Saccharomyces cerevisiae S288C: one gene and its partners. Changing the gene in region 1 together with any one later gene gives a genetic interaction. Each region holds a gene or a part of one and is shown on either strand. Other genes may lie near its edges.

Region 1 (6,788 bases):
ATCAGAAAGATCGAGGTTATAAAGTAACCACCATAGTAGAAACAGTGGTAGTATGGCAGTTACCTCATGCAAGATGAAGAATGATGTAAGTGTTGGAACCGTGCCGGCCTCACTGAGGCGGTCGAAATAGTGTGAAAATTTAGGATTCTTGTTTAACCTTGTTAAAAGTCGTGACTTGGAAAATATTTTACGTAGTCTATCCTCCCTTCTTTTCACTGGATCTAAATTTCCCGATATGAATCTAATTTGGGTTGATCCGCCGGGCCTGGTGTTCATAAACGTGGTCAATTGCGTTGGCCTTTTAAGCATGAGCTCCAACGGTCCAGAGCCCATCTGCAGTTGACAGGGCCTGAAGAAAAGATTCATGACAGTCATGTTCCTGGTGAGGGTGCCTTGGGTGTAACACTTATCCTTACACGGTCTCTCAAAAGCAATATTTTTACATTTCTCTTCTTTGCTTCCTGTTCGTATAACGCGCTGAGAGCTGGTAAGAACAATAGGCCGAGGCCCTGCATCAAAATGTCAGTAGGGGACCTGTTAGGTACCCACTAATAAGTACAAGAGGGTTTTTATTTTCTAAGAGCCAATAATTGGCATTCTTTATATACAGGAAAGGTACATGTCATTCAAGACATGAGATGATCCACAGCTTCTTTACATCTGTCACACAATTTATCCTCTTCGGCTGAGTTGGCCTTCCAACATCTGGGACAGTTGTGCCTTTTGCTTCGTTCAACCAATATTTGAACGTTTATTCCGCTTCCCAATTCAATAGTTGGTAGACTGTTATTATTATCGTCCATTTGCAATATATCAACAGCAGATGATTGCAATATGTCGCAAAGCTCGTCAGAACTGAATGGGAGGTGATGCTTGGTGAAAATGGTAACGTGACTATGTGTTGTTTTGGTGACACCTTCTTCTAGACTTAACCTCTTGAATTCCTCCTGGAACTGTTTTAGAATTTTTAGTTCAAAGTTTTCAAAGGAGGTGACGATTTCCGTATTTGAGTCCAAAAACGGCCATTTTCCACGCATCGGATTAATGTCTATATGTTCTTGTCCTTGTAACCATCCTTCTGGTATATACTTCCATACTTCTTGGACCATAACGGGTAATATTGGTGCAAGAATTGCCCTATATGCATTTAGTATATGGACAAGCGTTGTTTGGACCTGCCTTCTTGCCAATGACGATATTTGGTTGGAATATAAAATATCCTTTGAGATATCAAAATAAAACGCCGATAGCTCGTTATTTAAATGATATTGTAGAGTAATGAGAACCTTGGAAAAGTTGTACTTTTGGTAGTGTTCTCTCGTCGTTTCCAGCAGTTCGTTTATCTTATACAAGGTATATTGATCAACACGGCGTAATTGTTCAATCGGCAAAAGGTTGAAATCTTGGGACTTCTGTAAATTACTCAATAAATAGCGAAAAGTTAGTCTAACCTTTTTTAGAGCTTCTCCTACATGTTTCATCACAGTCGGGCCAGCAACTATATCAGTTGTGAAATTCGATTGTGCTATCAGATACCTCAAGCCATCAACACCCAAAGCTGGTAAGCCTAAGTTTTCATCGCCTCGAATTATTGCTTCGGGAGAAATTGTATTTCCCACAGATTTTGACATTTTCAGACCATTCTCATCTAGGGTAAAACCATGAGTAATCACTTCTTCATATGGTGCAACAGGGACATTACTTGATGCTACTTTTGTTAGCAGTGAACTTTGAAACCATCCTCTATGTTGATCAGATCCTTCTAGACAAACTTGGTACAGGGGGGATGGGAGTTTTGACAACTTTAAGCTTTTTTCATAAAAGTCTTTGATCACACTCCATGACGACCCACTATCAAACCACACATCCATAGTATCTTGAGAACGACAGTATTCATGCGCTACGTCGTGATATTTTTCTGGCAACCATTCTTTCATGTCATTATCTTTATCGTTAAACCATGCATTAATTCCTTTTTGTTTGATTTTTTCTATGGCATGTGCCAAAATTTCTGAATTCATCAAAACAGAATCCGGTTCGCTCTTCTTGTAAAAGCTTAATATAGGGATACCCCATGAGCGTTGCCTAGATATGCACCATTCATTTCTGCTTTTCATAAAGGATGAAAGTCTTGAATAGCCTCTTTTAGGACAAAACTTGACGCGGCTGATGCTTTCCAGAGCCAAGTTTTTTACATCGTGTAAATCTGCAAACCACTGTGGAGTAGCTCTTATTATGACAGGTTTCTTGGATCTCCAGTCGTACGGATAAGAATGCGTGTATTCGTGAGATTTGTAAAGTAAATTAAGGTCGCTTAACTTACATAGAATGATTTTCGCGGTTTCGGCATCCAATACTTGCCTACCTTTTGTTAAGTCTCCTTCATCTCTCACGATGGATCTGACGGACTGAGGAAGTTCATTTAATTGGTAGCGGCCCTGGTGATCCACGGGAGAATAAATTTCAAGACCATTTTGAATACCAATGAGATAGTCATCCTGTCCATGCCCTGGTGCTGTATGAACCAATCCAGTCCCTGTACCGCTGGTAACGTGTGCACCATGTAATAAGGGCCTGCCAACCTTATCGTCTACTAAGAGGTTTTGATAATATAGCCCATTTAGATGAGTTCCTTGAAACTGTTTGATAGTCTCAAATGAGTTAGTTGTTAGGCCCAATTTATCAATGGAGCCGGTCTCTACAAGGATAAGTTCACTATTTAAGCGTAATAGGGAGTAGGAAAAATCCTGATTGAAACAGATTGCTCGATTAGAGAGAAGAGTCCATGGAGTACTGGTCCAAATCAAACAGTATATAGGCAAGTTATTCGTTATTCCTAGTTTTTTGCACAGATCCATCTGGGATTTCTTTTCAAGAGGAAATTTAACATAAGCAGCGATGGATTTATGGTTTTCATTATATTCTAATTCGCCCTCTGCTAACGCTGTTCTAGTTTCTGTACCCCAGTAAACCGGTTTGTTCTGTCTCTTAATCAGTCCTCTTTCGTACATTTCTTTAAAAATATTTAGCTGATTAATTTCATAGTCTTTATCCATTGTTAGGTATGGTGTTTCCCAGTCCGTTAAGATGGCAAAATGTTGGAAAGTTTCCCTTTGCCTCTTGATTGCCTTTTGTGCATGTTTTAAAGCCATTGACCTGATTTTTAAAGGCGATATTGACTCGATCTGTTGCGCGCTTAAATCTTTCAAAGCTTTAATCTCGATGGGTAGTCCATGACAATCCCAGCCAGGCTTATAAAAAATGTACTTCCCCTGTGAAAGTTGATATCTGTTTATGATATCTTTCAGAATTTTATTTAGAGCATGACCGAGATGGAGCTCGCCGTTGGCATAGGGCGGTCCATCATGTAAGATGAACAACTTTTCTTTAATGAACTCTAATTTTTCATCAGTCGTATTAAGCTTTGAAAATTCTTCGAAGAAATCACGTAGCTGCTCCTTGTAAACTAACTGCGAAGATTTTGGTATTAATTCCCTCAATGTAATCTCTAAGTTTGATCTATTAGGGAATTTGGTCTTGGGCAAGTTTAATGTTTTTTGGTAGGCATGTTTGGCGAGATATCGCTTGCTAATAATGCTAAAGATATGTTGAGGCACAAGCCTGGAGCGCTTCATAAGTAGCTAAAGATCGTTCTTAGTATACTGTGTTCCATAACTTCTAGCCTTGGTCCTTTATATTTGCTGTTTTTCTGCGTTTCTTAACTCGCTTGCGGAAAAAGAATCGACATTTTCAGAACAGGATTTTATTGTTTTTAAAGTACATTATATGGGGCGACACATCATCGCCATCTATGTTAAATATTTAAAGAATACGGGGTAGAATTATTCACGCTGGGGGATGCTGAAAGAGGAGTATAATTTGAGCGGTGCTGATAACATGGCATCTGCTGAGTTGTCATTTAAAAAGCAAAAAGTGGTATTGAAAAAGTTCATGATAGCGCAAGTGACTAAGGGGATTATGCAGCGGTATGCGAGCCTATTAGTTACCATGCCTAGTGATGATGACAATGCAATTATTGGCACAAATCATTTGAAAACAACCAAATTTTTAGAAATAATCCTACACAGAGCCAAATCATCGCATTTACAGTTCAAAAAGGTCTGTTGCATTGTCATCAAGTTTCTAGATTGCTGCTCGAAGGAAACTAACTACATGAAGTTTTTAAAGTTCAGCTTACACAAACTATTTGTAGCTGCTTTCATCTTAAGTGTGCCAAATGTTGTAGGCGATGACCGCGACAGGATTACCACGAGGGATGAAACCTATCATCTCTATTCCCAGATAACAGGCTTGCCACTGGAAGAAGTGATAAATTGTTGTTCTATTGTGAGGCCTGTACTTATTCGGCGGAGTAGACAACAACGCAGGCAAATGTTATCTCGACGTGAACAACATTCGTACTTCCTCAGAAGTTCTTTTATGAACTCCAATTCATCAGCATCACCTTTTTTCTCTACCAATAGGTCAGCTGATGATCTACATGTACATACAAGGGCATACTCGCTTCATAGCCATTCCGATGGGGAAGGCCAAGATAGGCGGTCGGAACATGAAGAAACGCATAGCATGGGGGCTGATGCCGATACATATCGACAAACTACGTTTATCCCAGACACACCAAATGGTTTGCATTCTAGATCATTAATTGAGTGTGGGATCGAACCCACCCAAGTAAGTGACTCTGGTGAATGGTCGGGTCAAAGTAACGGATATGTTTTGGTGACAGAATTACAGGAGTTTAACAAAATGGGTAAAAAGTTAGTACAAGAAGCTTTTAGGATAGTTTAATAAAGTATGGTTTGTCGTTTTGTTCATCATTCAAGGGTCATTTTTATTTCCATTTATGATTTCTTGAGTACAAAAGGCAAAAAAAACATGTATAATTATACACAAGAAAAAAAAACAAAACAAAAGAACACTTTCACACAAGCAAGTATATATTATGAGAATTTTTTCGAGTCTTACAGAACCATATCTTGCCTCTAAATTTTAGTCTAAAAATTTTGCTAGCCCATCAATTTTTTTTTTGTTCTAATGCAAAATATAACATGGGTAAGAAAAAGAAAAAGCCGTTCCTCAGTACGTAAAGAGATTTGATCATTAACAAGTTGGGCTCAATATACACAGTCGATAGTCTATATGTGCATATGAAACTGGCGCAAGACATGAATGTAGATGAAATATTTCTCAAACAAGCGGCAGAAGCTATAGCGGTAATCTCATCAAGTCCCACTCATACGGACCCCATAATACGAGAGCTACTCCACAGAATTCGACAATCCAGCCCATTGAGCGCAGTTATACCAGCACCAGAAAATGTTTTAAAGGCTGGGGAGCCGGAAAATATGGCTAGAGGTCTTATAAGGATTCCAGAAACACAAACAAAAAGAACAGGAGGTAACAACCATAGCAAGGAAGGCGCACAGCTCTACAGCTGTGCGAAATGTCAGTTGAAATTCAGCAGAAGTTCTGATCTGAGAAGACATGAAAAGGTACACTCACTCGTGCTGCCGCATATTTGCTCAAACTGTGGCAAAGGGTTTGCCAGGAAGGATGCTCTAAAAAGACATTCTAACACACTGACCTGTCAAAGAAACAGAAAGAAACTAAGTGAAGGTTCAGACGTTGATGTAGATGAGCTCATCAAGGATGCGATAAAGAATGGTACCGGCCTGTTGTAAGGCTAGAGGAAAACGTATTTGTCTCCATCAGCACACCTACACATACATATATAGATAGATATATACTTTAGCCATTGAGATAAGTAGAATAAAAAAACGTTGTAATATTCCGATACAGTTAGTGACATGTTCTCTACTTTTGCCAATTTTTTGCGCACAAAGTGGTGACGTACAAGTTCATCATTTCACGTGTGCAGCATAGTGTGGTATATTGTTTTTTTATATTTTATTTTTTATTTTTTTTTTTTTGCAGAAAACAGTGTTTGTATTATATGCTTTAGATATGCTAAAAAAAATGAAAAAAAATGGAACAAAATATGTGTTTTTTTATTTAACGTTAAAATTAAAGATTAAGTTATTTATTCGACGTCAGCATCAAAAGTTTGACCTTCAACTAACTCTGGAATAGCTTCATCCTTCTTTTCAGCATCAGCTGGAGCCTTGGCTTCGTGCTTTTCCATTTGGGCAGCCAATTGAGACAAGGCTTGGATGGCTTCAGGGCCCAATTGAGAGATAATACCTGGGAACAAATCTTGCAAGTTCTTTTCCTGTGGTAGACCGTAGAATACAGAAGTGTTGTGTTGAGCAGCAACTTGGACACCGACCTTGTTGAAGTGCATGACCTTACCGTCGTCCTTGAAAAAGTTGGCTTCGGCGACGTTGTCAATGGTGACAGCGTGCAACTTAGCTAATTGACTTTGCAACTTGGTGTCATCCTTGTTGGCACCGGCAGAAGAGCCTGCCTTCTTGTTAAGCTTTCTTCTAGTACCACCAACTTTGTTGTTAGCAGACAACTTTTGTAGCTTAGCTAATTTTTCTTGGTCAATTGGCATTATGAATTATGAGTCGCGTCTGGTGTGAGATGTTCTATTCTTAAACCTCCCTAGAAAGAATATTCGCTCTCTTGTGACAAAGGAGGGGTTACTACTTAACAAGCAATTGCAGCTGTTTCCACTACGAAATCTTCCAATGTCAACGAAAAAAATTCAAAAATTTTCTGCTTTTTTTTTCAACATCTGCCGTACTAAATGATTCCACAATAATCCATCATATACCATTACCCTGATTCCCATCGAAGAAAAGGCG
Region 2 (9,368 bases), on another chromosome or scaffold:
ATACCATTGTTTCTGAATCATCAAGCAATTTAGCTCAGGGTATTCTCAAATATCGTATCACCCTTTTGAATGGAGTCACTTGGTTATGTTACGTGATAGGACCAGACGATTTAACCTCAACGGACTTTTCATTGGAGGTGAGCTCAGAATATGAAATTAAAGCAAGCGCTAGTGTTGATGGTCTTATCATTCAATTGGCCGTCGCACCTTCTGAAACTGATTACGAGGTCTTTTATGATCAAGCCGCAGGTATGTACGTTACTAATTTCAAGCTGCAGGGTGTCTCTGACGGTTCTACAGCTACCTATGAATTTTCTTATACCACCCAAGGTGAGTCGGCATCAGGTAGCACAATGATTTTTGCCTTGCCCCATCATGAATCTTCATTTAGTGATATAATGCAAGACTACTATACCGGCATTCAACTCGCTTCTACAACTAAGGGTGTAATGAACGGTTATCTAACAACGAGCCTACAATTTTCCACATCTCTAAACAGACAAATATCTTGGTTACCATGGTCTTCTCAACTTGGCTCAAACCTTTTAGAGTATTCTAAAGAACAATTGCAATTATTAGCTGAAGTTGCCAATTCCGAATTACAGGTTAGTATTTCCGAAAGTATAAGCGGGTTAAACACATATTATTTGGGTAAAGTTATCGATAAGTATTCTTACATTCTATTAACGGTCTCCGAAATCATCCAAGATGAAGCCAGTACTAAGAGTACTTTGGAAAACATCAAATCGGCCTTTGATATTCTGCTACAAAATGAACAGACGTATCCACTAATTTACGACACAAAGTTCAACGGTTTGGTCAGTTCAGGAGATTGGGGTTCCACCAGCACGCAATACGATTTTGGTAACACTTATTACAATGACCATCATTTCCATTATGGTTACATTATTCATGCAGCTGCTGTCATCGGCTATGTTGACTCTAAACTGAATGGTACTTGGGCTGCCGACAATAAAGATTGGGTCAATTCATTGGTAAGAGATGTCGCAAATCCATCTGAAAAAGATGAATACTTTGCACAATCGAGAATGTTTGATTGGTTCAACGGTCATTCATGGGCAGCTGGACTTTATGAAAACGGTAACGGTAAGAACGAAGAAAGTAGTAGTGAAGATTACAATTTTGCCTATGCTATGAAGTTATGGGGGGCCACTATCGGTGACCAGTCAATGGAATTGAGGGGTGACTTGATGATTAGTATAATGAAGGATGCAATGAACGACTATTTCTATTATCAAAATGACAACACAGTTGAGCCTGAAGAAATCATAGGAAATAAAGTGAGTGGTATTTTATTCGATAATATTATCGATTATACTACTTATTTTGGAACAAACACAGAATATATCCACGGTATTCATATGCTACCTATCACACCAGTTTCTTCTAATATTCGTTCTGAGACTTTCGTCGAAGAAGAATGGCAGACTAAAATCGAGCCAATTATTGAATCGATAGAAAGCGGCTGGACAGGCATATTGAAGCTGAATCAAGCACTCTTCGACCCAGTAGATTCGTATGCATTTTTCAGTGATTCAACTTTTGATTCATCCACATATTTGGATAACGGAATGAGTCGCACATGGGCATTAGCATTTTCAGGGGGACTGGCCAACTCAATTGCTTAGAAAGAGAACTTGGCAAGCAGGTCTGTCGAGTCTTTCCCACTACATACATATTTTATAGAATAAATCATTTTTACTTAACTTGAAAGTTGTTGCGTTCGAAAAGACCACGGCTAACGGAGACCACTTAGGTAAATGCATGCCAGTAAGAGGTATATTAGTACTTTAATGAATGAACTTAGCAAGGTAATGCCTGCACTAAAATAAAATTCTAACGTCATCCTAAGAAGCATCAATTGGACATAGTGAGGAAAAGTTTTCACCATTTAAAATTTGTTTTGCAGAATACCATTCTAGACTATGATCCCTTAGAGATTCTCATTCTTTAAATATCAGCTTCAACAGCATATCTTTATAGTATTATCGTACTACTGGCGACATTAGCAAATCAAAGTATTTTTGCTCAGTTTCTAGTTTTATCTGTTTGATTCCCCATTAGATGGTAAACACGTTGTCTTGATGACTGAAAAGGAAGTGAACATGGTCAACTCAAAATAACCAGACTCAAAATAATTGCAATTACCTAGGCTAGATATTTTTAGAATATTATGAGAATATTTTTAGAATATTTGCAACCCAAAATATATTTAAATGCCGCCAATTTGCAACCAAAAGATTATCCGCTACCTTTTTTTTAGTCATTGAATCGTAGCATAAAGTTCCGAGCTTTGAAAAAAAGCTTTGAACTAAGAAAAGGTAAGAGATCCTCAATTATGATATTACTCCAAGTCATATGCACGATTTGGACATGTCTCTTTATTCCGTTACTCAATGCAGAGGAATTCGTCCCCAAAGTAACGGAGACTCTTTCAGAATATTCATTTAGTCTAGAGAGCTTTGACGATTCCAACAGTTTAATCAGATTAGATAATCAAGTCGTGTGGATAAGTTCCGATTCTGGAGAAAATTGGGAAGCGGTCAAAGAAATTGAAGGGCATATTCTCGAATTAATTGTTGATCCTTTGCATGGACAGGACAGGGCTTTTGTTTCGATACATTTATCACCCAAATTTTACGTCACCGATGATCGTGGAAAATCATGGAGGGCTCTGACTATACCCGTCTCTGAAAACTGTCGTTTGGGTACTTCTTGCTCTATAGCTACCCATCCGACAGATAAAAAGTACCTTATTGCAGATTGCCCTTGCTTTATAAACGACAATGGTTATATCCAAATACAAAATGAAACTTACTTTACCAACGATGGGGAATCCTTTTACAATATCGAACCTTCCTTGAAAAAGAAAGAAGATGACCATATAACAAGTTCAAGCTGCAACTTTGTCAAATCTAGCAAGGATTCTGATATTGAGGGTAACGACGCTTCGATACTATGTTTGTTCTCGAACCATGGTTACGATAGCGATCGTCACTTAAGTGCCGCATATACACAATTAGCCTTAAGTACTGATGGAGGTAAAACTTTCAAAAAATTTGATGAGTTTAATGATAAAATTATTTATCAATACAAGATATTAAAATCACATATAATCGTTTCGACACAAGATGATAGATACAATGAAATGTCACCCATGGACATCTGGATATCCAATGATGCGTCTACTTTTCAAAAGGCACGTCTACCTGCTCAAGTACGGCACGTCCATATGTATGGAATTTATGAAGATTCTATTGGAAGAATAATCATTCCTATATCTACGATATTCACAGATGAAAAAAACGACCAACCAGCTCCCTCAGAAATTTTAATATCAGATTCTCAAGGGTTGAAATTTTTACCTGTTGAATGGACAATAAATCCTCACTTTGGTTATATTGATATTGCTTCTCCTCATTTCTTAGAAGGAACAATAATTGGCTCGTTTCATCCTTCCTTTGACTACTCTCATAACAAAGGAAAATATAATAAAAAGATAGCCAGATATGAAACTAAAATATCTGTTGATAACGGCCTCACATGGTCAAATTTGAAAGTGGTTGACGAGGAAAATGCAGATTCATTCCCTTGTGATATCACTAGGCCTGAAAGATGTTCGCTCCAGAACCCTTTTTATAGTATCTAAATCTCAAATCCTACTGCCGGAATTATGTTAATGACAGGTTCCGTTGGCGACGGTAGTGAATTCGATTGGGAAGACCAAAAAACTTTCATCTCTAGAGATGGCGGTTTAACGTGGAGATTTGTTCATAATTCTTCTGGGTTATATGCTACTGGTGACCTGGGAAATATTATTGTGTATATCCCATATGATCCAGAGGAAGATGGCGATTTTCAATCTGAATTTTATTATTCTTTGGACCAAGGTAGAACATGGAATGAATATGAGCTGACCAATGCCATAAGTTCTGTCCATCCCTACAAATTGATAAATCCAACACCAGATGGATCTGGCTCAAAATTTATTTTTAAAGGAACGTTTGCCACTACCGATTCCGAAACCAACAGTATAACTTCTTTAAAAGGTGTCGAGTATATAATTGATTTTTCAGCAGCATTCGACTCTAGAACGTGTGAGGAGGAAGATTTTGAAGATTGGGATTTGGCGGATGGGAAATGTGTTAATGGCGCCAAATACAAGTATAGAAGGAGGAAACAAGACGCCCAGTGTTTGGTAAAAAAAGCATTCAAAGATTTGAGTTTAGATGAAACGCCTTGTAATAGTTGTGGTGAATCCGACTACGAATGTTCGTTTGAATTTGTTAGGGACGCAAACGGCCTGTGTATACCAGATTATAATCTGATTGCCTTTTCCAACATATGTGACAAATCGAAGGATAAATCTGTGTTAGTAGAGCCATTACAATTAATCAAAGGTGATGAATGTAAAACACCCATGAAAATTGAACCCGTTGATATTCCGTGTGACGAAATTCCAGAGGAGGGTTCGAGTGACAGGGAAATAGTGACCACTGAAAACAAATTTGACTTCGAAATTAAATTTTACCAATACTTCGATACAGTTGCCGACGAATCTTTGGTCATGCTGAATTCGATAGGAGACGCCTATATATCCCACGATGGTGGACAAACAATAAAAAGGTTTGACACTAACGGCGAAAAAATTGTTGAAGTTGTGTTTAACCCATATTTCAATTCTTCAGCATATTTGTTTGGCTCTAAAGGTAACATATTCTCAACACACGATAGAGGACACTCTTTTATGATAGCTAAATTACCTGAAGCCAGGCAATTAGGTATGCCACTAGATTTTAGTGCTAAAGCACAGGATACTTTTATTTACTATGGTGGCAAGAATTGTGAATCAATCTTAAGTCCAGAATGTCATGCAGTAGCATACCTCACCAAAGATGGAGGTGAAACTTTTACAGAAATGCTTGATAATGCAATTCATTGTGAGTTTGCAGGCACACTCTTTGAATATCCGTCAAATGAGGAGATGGTTATGTGCCAAGTAAAAAAGAAGTCTTCAGAAACAAGAAGCTTGGTTTCTTCGATAGATTTTTTCCAAGGTGATAATAAAATTATCTTTGAAAACATTATCGGCTACTTGTCCACTGGTGGCTATATTATTGTTGCCGTACCTCATGAAGACAATGAGTTGAGGGCATATGTAACTATTGATGGTACTGAGTTTGCCGAGGCAAAATTCCCGTATGGTCAAGATGTTAGTAAGCAAGAGGCATTCACTATTTTAGGATCTGAGAAAGGATCGATATTTTTACATTTAGCAACAAACTTAGAATCAGGACACGATTTTGGAAACCTTTTGAAATCCAACTCGAATGGTACTTCTTTTGTCACTTTAGAGCATGCCGTTAATAGAAACACATTCGGTTATGTCGACTTTGAAAAAGTTCAAGGTCTTGAAGGTATTATTATTACCAACATCGTTTCGAATAGGGAAAAGGTTGGAGAGAACAAGGAAGACGAACAATTGAAGACGAAAATCACCTTTAATGACGGTTCAGATTGGAACTTTTTGAAGCCTCCAAAGAAGGATTCGGAAGGGAAAAAGTTTCCCTGTGATTCTGTATCATTAGATAAATGTTCTCTACATTTGCATGGTTACACTGAACGTAAGGATATCAGGGATACATATTCCTCCGGTTCCGCGTTAGGAATGATGTTTGGTGTCGGAAATGTTGGCGATAAGCTTCTACCATATGAGGAGTGTTCCACTTTTTTAACCACTGATGGAGGAGAGACGTGGACTGAGGTTAAAAAAGGCCCCCATCAATGGGAGTACGGTGATCATGGTGGAGTCTTGGTTTTGGTCCCCGAAAACGCAGAAACTGATTCTATTTCTTACTCCACCGATTTTGGTAAAACATGGAAAGATTATAAATTCTGTGGCGACAAAGTCCTCGTAAAGGATATAATCACCGTTCCCAGAGATTCTGCTTTGAGGTTTTTGCTATTTGGAGAAGCAAAAAACATGGGTAGTGGTTCATTCAGAACGTATACAATTGATTTTAGAAACATCTTCGAGAGGCAATGTGAGTTTGATATTACGGGTAAAAAAAGGGCAGATTTTAAGTACTCTCCTCTGGGTTCCAGAACTGGTTGTCTATTTGGTCATCAAACCGAGTTTTTACGTAAAACCGATGAAAAATGTTTTATTGGGAATATTCCACTTTCTGAATTTTCGAGGAACGTCAAAAACTGTTCATGTACGAGGCAAGATTTCGAATGTGACTATAATTTTTATAAAGCCAGTGATGGTACTTGTAAATTAGTCAAAGGCTTAAGTTCGGCGAATGGTGCCGATATCTGCAAAAAGGAACCCGACTTAATTGAATACTATGATTCCTCTGGCTATCGAAAAATTCCCTTATCAACCTGTAAAGGTGGGCTGAAATTGGATGCACATTTAGCACCACATCCTTGTCCGGGAAAAGAAAAGGCATTCAGGGAAAAATATTCTATAAACACCGGCGCTTATGCGCTGGTTTTTGTTACAATTCTTCTCGTTATTTTCTTTGCCGCATGGTTTGTATACGATAGAGGTATCAGGAGAAATGGGGGATTTTCAAGATTTGAAGAAATAAGATTAGGAGACGATGGGCTGATAGAAAACAATAGGACCGATAGAGTTGTCAACATCATTGTAAGACTAGGATTATGCATTTCTTTAATTACCAAGTCTGCATTTCAACGCACGAAGGCAGGTGTAGCACGCTTTTCTTCAAAATTAAGGGCAAGGTTTGGCAACAGAAAAGGTCCTACTTACTCTTCGCTGCTTCAGGGTCAGTTTTCAGATGAATCAGATGGCTTGCATGAAGATGCTAACGATTTATCCAGTTTCACAAGTCAAGACAGTAATTTTGAAATTGAACAAGAAGATGCTTACAGACCCGAACAAGAGCACACGTCACAGATAGACCAGCCTGCCACTAGCAATATTCCAGACGCATTGCCAGCACGTAGTGCTATTCACAAGCCTGATTCAACTGCTGTGCGCAACGAGGACGAGTAAATAGATTTTTTTAATAGACTAAATAATCGTATGTTTGCTAACAAAAAGTACGCATATGCATTTTCTCAATATTGTGCATTTTCTAAATCTCCATTCACCTTTGTTATTAACATAGTCATTTAAAGGTATGATAATTCAGTATTCATCTTTTCCACAGACGGCGCTGCATGCCATTCGTCTGTAACTTGCCTAGGGACTGCGCCGCACATAATCGTGACAGAAATTTCAAAAGTGATAGGAGCCAAAAGTGATAGGAGCCAAAAAGAACATATATAAGCACGATCAAATTAACTGAACTTGACCACTTTTCTTTCACTGTCAGAATTGGACGAAGGACAAAAATGTCAAATATCATTGCAAGATTTCACAAGATTCAAGTTCAAGACGGTGTAAAGGTTTGGTACCGTGAGGCCGGTGCAGCAGGTAACCCCACAATTTTATTGCTACATGGGTTCCCTACATCTTCCAACATGTTCAGGAACCTCATTCCCTTACTAGCTGGACAGTTTCACATCATTGCTCCGGATCTTCCTGGGTTCGGATTTACGGAAACGCCAGAAAACTACAAGTTCAGCTTTGATTCCCTTTGTGAAAGTATAGGATATTTGTTAGATACTTTGAGTATTGAAAAATTTGCCATGTATATATTTGATTATGGATCTCCGGTAGGTTTTCGGTTAGCCTTGAAGTTTCCCTCCAGAATTACTGGCATTGTTACTCAAAACGGTAATGCTTACGAAGAGGGTCTCGATGACCGCTTTTGGGGTCCGTTGAAGGAATATTGGAAGTCATATCAAAGTGATCCGGTATTTGTTAAATCCCTTATCCCGTACCTTGAAGATCCAGCTAATGTCATATGCCAGTACCATGATGGAGTACCAGCTATCGAATCTGTTGATCCCGCCGCTTATACGCTTGATATTGCGCTAATTCAGCGTACCGGCCAGACCGATATTCAATTGAGATTATTTTTCGATTATCAGAATAATATAAAGTTGTACCCAGCCTTTCAAAAGTTCTTGAGAGATTCAAAGATTCCTGTGCTAGTTGCATGGGGTGCGAATGATACTATTTTTAGCGTTGCCGGGGCTGAAGCTTATCGGAAAGACGTTGATAATTTAAAGGTTGTTTACTATGATACTGGCCATTTTGCGCTTGAAACTCACGTAGTTGCTATTGCCGAAGAAATCATCAGTATGTTTGCAGAAAATTAAAGATACTAAGTTCTTGTGACAATGTTTTCTGAGAAGAATCTCTCGTATTTTGTTTAATTGCCAAAAACACATATGTTTCGACTCACATAGAGTTGCCTCAGAGCGTTCTTTTGTTACCCATTATTGCTCATAAATAAGTCAAAACAGATGTCTGGTCGCATTATCAAGGGTTTGTACTGGTAGCCCGGTGACAATATATTAATCTAAGCATATAACATTTTTAGTAAGTTCTTCAGCCACCTTTTTTACGATCTATGTTGTTTTGAAGGGTAAACCTACTACCATGTCATATGGATCTTTCCCCTAGTAAACTTGTATCTCAAAAGGTCATTTCTGAATAAAGTGTCAAAAAATCAGCTAGGAAACGGTTTAGTAAAGTATGCGACCCCAAAATTCGACAAAGCTATCACCACTCAGCTGTACTGGACTGATCGGATATTTGATTATATCAATAAGGTTTTGTTCAATAGGAAGTACCTGAACTAAATCTTGCAATATTTCCAATGCTAGAATGTATTCAAATAGTTCAGTACCTTTAAGGAACTGCACCACCTGCTTATACCTTAGGAGTATAATACATGAAATACATAATGTCAGTGACGCTGTTCTTAAAGGATAACAAAAATTCCAATCCAAACGTTCATGCCTTTCCTTTTCGTTATCGGGAAACTGTTTAGTGTATTGACTCCATATTTCGTGAATTATTGATTTTGCCATGGTTACTGCTTGTAAGGATTCTCCAGTGATCAGATACGGACGATATAATAGAAAAGAAGCTTGAGCTCTTAAACATGATAGCTCTAACATTAAGACTCTGCTCCTGTAAAAAAGATGTTCTTCGAATATCGGAAAGCCTTTTAACCTGGTAATCTGGAGTGAAACCTCCTCAAATTCTCTTTCTAAGTTTACGAATGGTACCTCGTTTGCGGTGCTGGAAGTATATAGCCGTTGAAAAATCTTACTTTGTAGAGTGGCTAGCTTGATTCTGATTTGCATGAAATCTATCAAAAGTTTATTAGTTTTATTGCGGGGGGATATTTCACACGGCAGAGGTGTTGTAATTTGTTCCAAAGTGATAAAAGGATTTTTTCCATGAATTGTTGCCAACA
Region 3 (8,087 bases), on another chromosome or scaffold:
TTTCTGGTGACAGTATTTTTCTCTTAACTGTGTTTAACGACTTTATTTTTGTATTCAATTCGTTGTTTCCTTGAATATCAATCCCCTGGGCAGTTCGTAGAGGGGTTGTTGGGGGGGTTCCGATTGAGTCTTTTTGGGCCTTCATTTGCTTTCTCAAGTCGCTCGCCTCCCTTTTTAACTGTCTTAACTTCTTAATTTGATCTTGCGTCTTGAAGAAATCTGGTATTTGGGATTCAAGAAATGTGACCCAATTATCACAATCTGAGTGGATTTGGTAGTCTATAATGCCGTGCCAAGAGGATTCGCCAATGGGTGTCTTGTTTACGAGAATGATCAGGCCGCCACGATCGTGAATTTTCTTACTTAATTTTTTTACCAGTTGTTTCACACCATCAACTTTCAAACTTGTACCCATGATGATCAAAAAATCAGGATTGCCTTTAATTATGTCAAGATTTAGGCCTTGCGTAATAATTTCACAGGATGGATGGTTTTCACCATACAGGACGATATTAGGTCTTAGAATACCCACATTAGAACCAAGAGTTCGCTTTCCTTCATTCAATCTCTTGTTGATAAGTGCTTCGCAATCCGGACACAATGGTAACTCACCTCTTCTTAGACAACGAGACCAGTACCTGCTCCAGGGAAAAGTCTGGAAGCACTTTGTACACGAAAGAGTTTTCAGGTCGCCGTGCAACTGAACGACATCCAGATTTTTCCAATGTGAACTAAATGAGGTAAGCGGTAATTTCCTATTTGATAAAGTAAGTCCTATGCTTTCTTCGAGCCCATCGATGTTTTGCGTGTAACAGCGCAGCAGTTTGTTCCTATCTTTTAGATGCGCAATGAACTTGTGCGTCTTAGTCGGCTTTGCCAATTGAACATTTGAATAGAGCCTCTCCATAAATTTAGCAAAAATGGATATTTTGAAGTCATCTCTAAATAGCGAAATATCAAACATTTCCCTGCCGGACTTGATAGACCAATACTGTGAACAATCCTTTTTCACTAGGTCGTAGAGCCCATCAGAAGAGCGAAAGTCAGGAATGCCCGCGTTGCACGAAATGCCTGCCCCAGTCAGACAAGCAATTCTCCTAGATCTGCTCAACTGCTTGGTTACGCGCCGGAGAACTTCATCGTCGGCATCAAGACCTATAATATGTGCCAGTTTCTCAGTCTGCAAAGAGGACGGTAAGTCGGAGCACATTGAGCCCGATCGACTGGCAGGTGGCGAGGGCGATACTGAAGTCATTTTTGAGAAAGATGGATCTAGTTGTATGTAAATTAATCCCTTCAGTTTTTACACCACTAACCACGTATTTGCCCTTGCTTGTGTTATATATAAGACGTACGCCAGATATAGTTCTCTGGCACGAATAACATTGCTTGCTTTTATTGACGTTTTACCCTTTGTGGTAACAGCAAACATAAACGTCGTTCGTGATGTTGAGTTACTTATTGTTACCCGCAATTGAGGGATACCCGCCACAGAAACACATGCAGTGCATTTGCCACTGTGCATAGCCGTAGGAAGAGGGAAAAACGAACAGGGAAGAAGCAGGAAGAGCAGACAGCAAGAACCCGTGCTAAGGAAGGTGATGAACTTTGGCCACTGAAGGCGCATTTTACCTCTGAAGGATCCCGTTTCCACATTTGTAAGCTAGTGTTCGTTCATATAAACACCCTGATCTTCGGCATTTCACTACTCTTCGGGCTCACGCTTCTCATCCAACACTTTGTGTATATGTCCATCTCCTCATGATGAGTCCCGCCCAAGATAAACTGCAGCACCAGCATCATAATCCTAATTCTTCCTCATCGTCATCCTCTAAGATGACGAACGTTTATCAGGTTACCACGCCAAAGTCTCCTCAGGATTTGGAAAACAACATGGATGAGCCCTTCAAAATGGACACCGCCACCAGTAATCCGGACAAGGATAGCGAAAATACCCAGCGGTTGAAGTACGAATGTGCCAAAGGGGAAATACAGAATGTTTTGAACCTACATATAATGCTAAACCACAAGCATGTTAGGCACTTACGAAGAAATGTTCAAAAGGTTAACGCAAAACTAGCTCTCTTGGAAACCCTGCATAAGGATACTGGTCTATTGAACAAAATCGAACGGACGTATCAACTCAAAATAAAACAACATCAGCAGCATAGCGTGCTCGGCGGCCACTTTCACGACAGTACGGCTACGGAAAATACGAACGCATCAAATTATAACCTGTCATACCCGGTTCTATCGGATTATAACATCAACTGTCAGCCTTTGTCTTCGAGCAGCAACAGAAATCTGTCAACAACACGCATACCACACCACCATTATCATACTAGAAGCAAGAGTAACGGGCTTTTGCTAGAACCTTCTGCCCTCCGTCCGGCAAATTCGAATATAATTGATTACAGGCTAACAGGTTCTAAATCTCTATCAGAAGCCATAACCAAGCCCACTCCCGTCTCGCTTCCTCACTCTAATTCGGATGGCATTTCTTCACCTCGTTCCTCCTCAATCTCCCCCTTAGACGAGCAGCCGGGGTTCCAGATACTCCCTTTTAAACCAAGTCAGATGCATCTTAACCACAGACGTAATTACAGTAGCACTTGTTTGACGAGCAATAGCGGTATCATCGGTAAGACTGAAAATAATGAGCCCATTTTTAGAAGATATGACGGCATTTTGGTTATAATTACGTGCTCCAAATGTGACCGTTCCGGTTTCACTTCCGCGCAAGGTATCGTGAACCATACTCGACTAAAACATTCTAAACTATATTCAAGCCAACCATTGGCAGTTTTAAACAACCAAAAACTACTTCCTAATGATAAGCAGGATCCGGAAATTTTATCTAAGTTCAAGAAACTAAATTTGGACCCAAACAAAGACTACCTACCCTCTGACATTGCAATCCCAAAACCACAATCACCAATCAACCACTCCGAGAACCATACGCGGGCTCCAAAGACTGTCAAGAACACTCCTCATTTAGAAAAACTATACCAAAATAAAGAAGACTTCAAAAAACTGATTGACATGGTTAATGAAACTCCGGATGATTTGAATGAATATTTGAAGCAACGTGAAATTCAATTAAGATATCAAAAGGAGCAAGAAGAGGAATCTTCCAAATCTGATGACGAAGCTTCTTACGTCCCATCACCGTCTCTCTCAGCAACGGCTACAACAACAACGACTACGGACCCACCCTCTCCGCCAGTGCTATCCTCCTCCTTACAAAGAAAATTGCTGCGTAAGAGAAAACTGAGCTTGAATAGCTCTACTCCCATGGAAGATTTACCTTTAAGAGAAAGGTTGAGAGCAAATCCCACTGACAAGAAACCAAGAAAAGCGGCCCTTTTGACTAATGAACTTGAGGGTCCTGATCCTGCAGCAAAATCATCATCTTATTACAATCTAAGGTCGAAATCAAGACTGCGTGGTTCTCATACATAGTACACACATATAAATAAGTAAATTACGTAATATAATATTCTGTTGGTTTTCTGACCTAATTTGTCGCTTTGGAAGAAAAAGTGGATTGTATTTTTTTGCATATTCCCTAATATTGAAGATCACTGAATATACTCACAGTGAACAATTACTTGAAATGCTACGGTTTACTCATCGAGGCCTTCCCTCCAGCACTCGTTTTAGAAACATTTTCGTAAGGTTAAATCACATTTATGTACCATGGTTCTATGCCATAGACGTACCCAACTCCAAACCCTATTTACCCACATATCAAACTTTACACTCACCCAAAAAGTTTAAGCCGTTCTCCGTTGATGATTCTAATCGTTTGGAAAAGGCCAGTAAGCGTCAAGAACGCAGGCCTGTTTTAGTCAACGAAGATTACCTGTTTAAAGTCGACCTCTCTCACATGGAATTGTCCCCTACCTATTGGGAAGGCCCTACTTATCAAGTACGAAGAGGTGTGTGGTTCGACTCTTCAAATCAACCTTTGTCCAGTGATCTTACCTCCGAAATTGAAGGGTTGTATAAGCAGCTCAAATTCGACGACAGTAATGATGATCCGACCACGACACCTCCTGCAGAATCGCAAGATATATTTAGGCTCAAAGGTAAATACCCAGTCGATAAAGAAAACGAAGGAGAGCAAAAAAATGGATCCAGCAATAAAGATGAGAACGAATCTACTTTCAAGTTTATTTTGTTTGCCAATAAACAAACTGCATTTTTACTATCGGATTTAGATGGAGGAAAACTGCAATTAGCCTTTCTAAGGTCTAATCTGGCTCAATCCTTACCGATTAATGCTACAATGATTACAAGATCATACAAATATTCATCCTCCGCAACTACTAAACAGACATCCACATCTTTTAAGGCAGCAAAAACGCCTCAAACGGAAGTAGCAGATGGTAGTAACAGTTCCAAATCGAGGAGCATTGAAACAAAGTTAGAAAAGAAAGTTTCAAACCTCTTCAATTTATCGGACTTTTTACAGTTGTTCAATGGTAATGCTAGTAAAGATCAAGATGATGCACAGAGCTTGGAAAAGCAAATGGAAACAGACTATAACAATGCAGATAACAGTCAAGGCGCTAATGCTAGTAGCAAAATAGAAGATGGCAAAAATTCGGGCGCAAGCGATAGACAAATTAGAAGTAACAGAAGAGATGTGGATAACTTGATACTATGCGTTCACGGTATAGGTCAGACTTTGGGTAAGAAGTACGAATACGTAAATTTCGCACACACGGTAAATCTACTTAGGTCTAATATGAAAAAAATCTACAATAATTCTGAGAAACTACAATCATTAAACACAGCACCTGATTATAAAAGCAACTGTAACGTTCAAGTGCTACCCATCACCTGGAGGCACTCGATAAGTTTCCAAACGGATGCTAAGGAGGAAAATATAGAAAATCCTGACCTACCGACTTTGTCACAAGTCACAGTAAATGGAGTGTTACCCTTGAGGAAGCTACTGGCTGACGGTCTACTAGATATTTTGTTGTATGTCGAACCATACTACCAAGATATGATTCTACAACAAGTAACCTCTCAATTGAACAAAACATATCGGATTTTTAAAGAATTTAATCCAGAGTTTGATGGGAAAGTCCATTTAGTGGGCCATTCGTTGGGTAGTATGATATTATTTGATATTCTATCCAAACAAAAAAAATATGAATTAGAATTTCAAGTAGACAACCTGTTCTTTATTGGCTCACCAATTGGATTGTTAAAGTTAATTCAAAGAACAAAAATTGGTGACCGTCCCGAATTTCCCAATGACTTGGAGAGAAAATTAACCGTACAGAGACCGCAATGTAAGGACATTTATAATGTTTACCACGTCTGTGATCCCATTTCTTATAGGATGGAACCTCTTGTTAGTAAAGAAATGGCTCATTACGAACAAACTTATTTACCACATTGTAGTGAAGCTTATGGACTAACTTCTAAAGTTTTGGAATTTGGCGAAAACATATGGAAAGATTTGCCAGGTACTGATGAAAATAATTTGCAGTCCAAAAAAACTTCTCCAGAAAAAAAAGAGGTCAAGTTATCAGAAAATCTTACGAGAATGCTTACAGGTTTGAATTACACCGGACGTCTAGATTATGCTATGTCTCCAAGTCTGCTAGAAGTGGATTTTATATCAGCTATAAAATCACATGTTTCTTATTTCGAAGAACCGGATATTGCAGCGTTTATCCTAAAAGAAATTTTAAGTAAACATGAAAATGCATCAGAAATATATGTAAAAAGAAAGACTGGTTGATCAGTAAACGCAAGGCACAAGTTTTTTTTAACTTTTTTCTTTACTGTCTATTATAGTTCCACTGTGTAAGGTTGTATTCTTTCCGTACTTCAACTTGCGGGTAACAGGATTGACACCTTTTCAATTTTTTCCGTTATTTTGGATTAGAAATTTTCGGTAAGCTCATCGAGTATTGTAAAAGAGCAATGCCCTTTGCTTATTAGATGTTGAGGGGCATATCTATTGTTAATATAGATTGATACAGCTGTGGAGATTATTTCTAGATATACGATGAAGTACATTATTGAGCATATGGAGGAAGGGTTTAGTGAATGGGTCATTTTAGAGTATAGCCAAATCCTGAGAGAAGTAGGAGCTGAAAACTTGATTTTATCATCGTTACCAGAGAGTACCACGGAAAAGGACATCCCTCAAAGGCTACTAAAACTTGGTTTAAGATGGACTACAAAGGATTTGAAGGGCATTAACGAAGATTTCAAGGATTTGGAACTGTTAAAAGATGGCAGAGTCTGTCTATTGGACCCTAGGGCTACAATCGATTTACAGCCGGAGGATGCTACGAAATTCGACTATTTCGTATTTGGTGGCATATTGGGTGATCATCCTCCAAGAGATCGTACCAAAGAACTAAAGACTGCCTATCCGAATCTTTTAATTAGCAGAAGACTAGGTGATAAACAAATGACTACGGATACTGCCATAAGAACAACACAGTTGATTATCAAAGACAGGATTGCATTTGAAGACATCAAGTTCATTGACTACCCTGAATTTAGGTTCAATAAAAATGAGGCCACGGAAATGCCATTTAGATACGTTTTAGATAAAGAAGGTAAACCTATTTTGCCTGAAGGGATGTTGGATTTGATCAAGAAGGATTCTGCTCAAAGTTTGGACGATCTGTTGATGTAGATGAGAACAGTCCTTTAAGTAACATTCTATGGTTGTAATAAGTGATGATGCTTCCTTGTCAAAGAGTTAGTTGAAAAGTTTAGGGTCGTAGCATTAATTATATTGTATATAGTTCAAAAACGACATTCAATGAAAAAATCAAGTTTATTAGCCAATGAATATTTCGTATTTTGCGTTAGTAGCGCTACCAAGACTTCTGAAAAGTGCATGCAAGAAAAATAAAAACAAGGAACCGTTTACTTTTATGATATCATCATTGTCAGGCCAAATAGGATAAAATTGATTGGTTGTATTATGCTTTTTAATTGAAAAAAAAAGTAGAAACTTTTATTATTTTATTTAAATTAATTTCTTTACATTACTTGCATCTAAAACCAAACGAGCTGGTGACTTCAAGCACTGCACTAGTTGCCATGGCTTTGCTAATTCAGACGACCCCCTTGAGGTGAAAAAATAGTCTCAGTAATGAAACAATCATAGGCAATTAGTTCGATTTTTTATAATTATCTTCCAGCCTTTCAAATATTGAAAGGCCATCAACTATCACTTACACCTGAGTGTTGTCATTGATCCGTAAAGTAAAAAGAGGCAAGTTTTGTGCATATTCGTATCATGCACAATGGCCTAAGGCAAGTATTTTCAGTGTTTTTTTTTTTTCATTGCCGTTTTGCTATTCAGAATATATTGAATTATATGTATAATGCATACTTAATAGAAAGAAGGACGCTAATTTTCGTTATAGAACAGTAGTTTCAAAAAGTGCTTCAAGTTTATAGAAATCAGTGCATCCCTTCACTGAACGATGAAGAACACCACCATTTCAGAAATTTTTATACATAATCAGTTGGCTTTCGTATCCTGCCTCGTATCTTTCTCTAAATCATTTAAAAATCCTTCAATACTCTTTACGACATCATCGTCCTTTCCCATAGCATCTGAGTTTGAACTTTCACCGCTTTTTTGTTGGCTCAAGGCAGAACTATTCTTGCCTTCATTTTTGGTTTTTGGTTTCGTGGTAAAGTAAGATGCCACTGCAGCAGTAGCGATAAACGTAGATATAGCCAATACGTGAGGTTGAACCGTCTTCCCAAATACTTTGTATGCAGCACCCATTGAGATAGCTATATTTATTTTTGTATATCTTATGTTTAGAAACAGTAGCGACCTTTCTTACTTGTTCCTTCAAAACTTGACTTAGATAACTATTTACCCTTAAACCGTTAGCTCTGTATTATGGACTGTGAAATTACACCTCGTTACCCGAAGTTCTATTATATTTTCAATCCATACTCCTATGATCTCTTCATTGGGAAAAAAAGGTCCACTTTCTCCTGGATTGCTCGAAGGCTTTCCGTAAAGAAAATACCTTTTATTTTTCTTTGCTTTCTTTCTCCATTAAATAGTAAACGCC

Evidence for each region. A genetic interaction does not mean that the proteins touch.
Region 2: mutations in YPL039W (region 1) and YNR065C together harm fitness less than expected from each alone (positive genetic interaction), as found in Saccharomyces cerevisiae (one large-scale study listed by BioGRID).
Region 3: mutations in YPL039W (region 1) and DDL1 together harm fitness less than expected from each alone (positive genetic interaction), as found in Saccharomyces cerevisiae (one large-scale study listed by BioGRID).

The regions. Positions count from the first base shown.
Region 1 is NC_001148.4:475,367-482,154, forward strand, and holds YPL039W (uncharacterized protein), read left to right. Parts: upstream 1-3,858; coding exon 3,859-4,809; downstream 4,810-6,788. Other genes in the region: MRX11 (Mrx11p), read right to left, coding at 1-375; isoleucine--tRNA ligase ISM1, read right to left, coding at 627-3,635; YPL038W-A (uncharacterized protein), read left to right, coding at 4,816-5,007; MET31 (Met31p), read left to right, coding at 5,169-5,702; EGD1 (Egd1p), read right to left, coding at 6,062-6,535.
Region 2 is NC_001146.8:748,027-757,394, reverse strand, and holds YNR065C (uncharacterized protein), read left to right. Parts: upstream 1-3,694; coding exon 3,695-7,045; downstream 7,046-9,368. Other genes in the region: DSE4 (endo-1,3(4)-beta-glucanase), read left to right, coding at 1-1,649; YNR066C (uncharacterized protein), read left to right, coding at 2,360-3,670; YNR064C (epoxide hydrolase), read left to right, coding at 7,387-8,259; PUL4 (Pul4p), read right to left, coding at 8,629-9,368.
Region 3 is NC_001147.6:371,387-379,473, reverse strand, and holds DDL1 (putative carboxylic ester hydrolase), read left to right. Parts: upstream 1-3,616; coding exon 3,617-5,764; downstream 5,765-8,087. Other genes in the region: NAD-dependent histone deacetylase HST3, read right to left, coding at 1-1,255; AHC1 (Ahc1p), read left to right, coding at 1,762-3,462; protein-arginine N-methyltransferase SFM1, read left to right, coding at 6,035-6,676; MCO10 (Mco10p), read right to left, coding at 7,517-7,789. UniProt on the Saccharomyces cerevisiae protein: Probable phospholipase that hydrolyzes phosphatidic acid.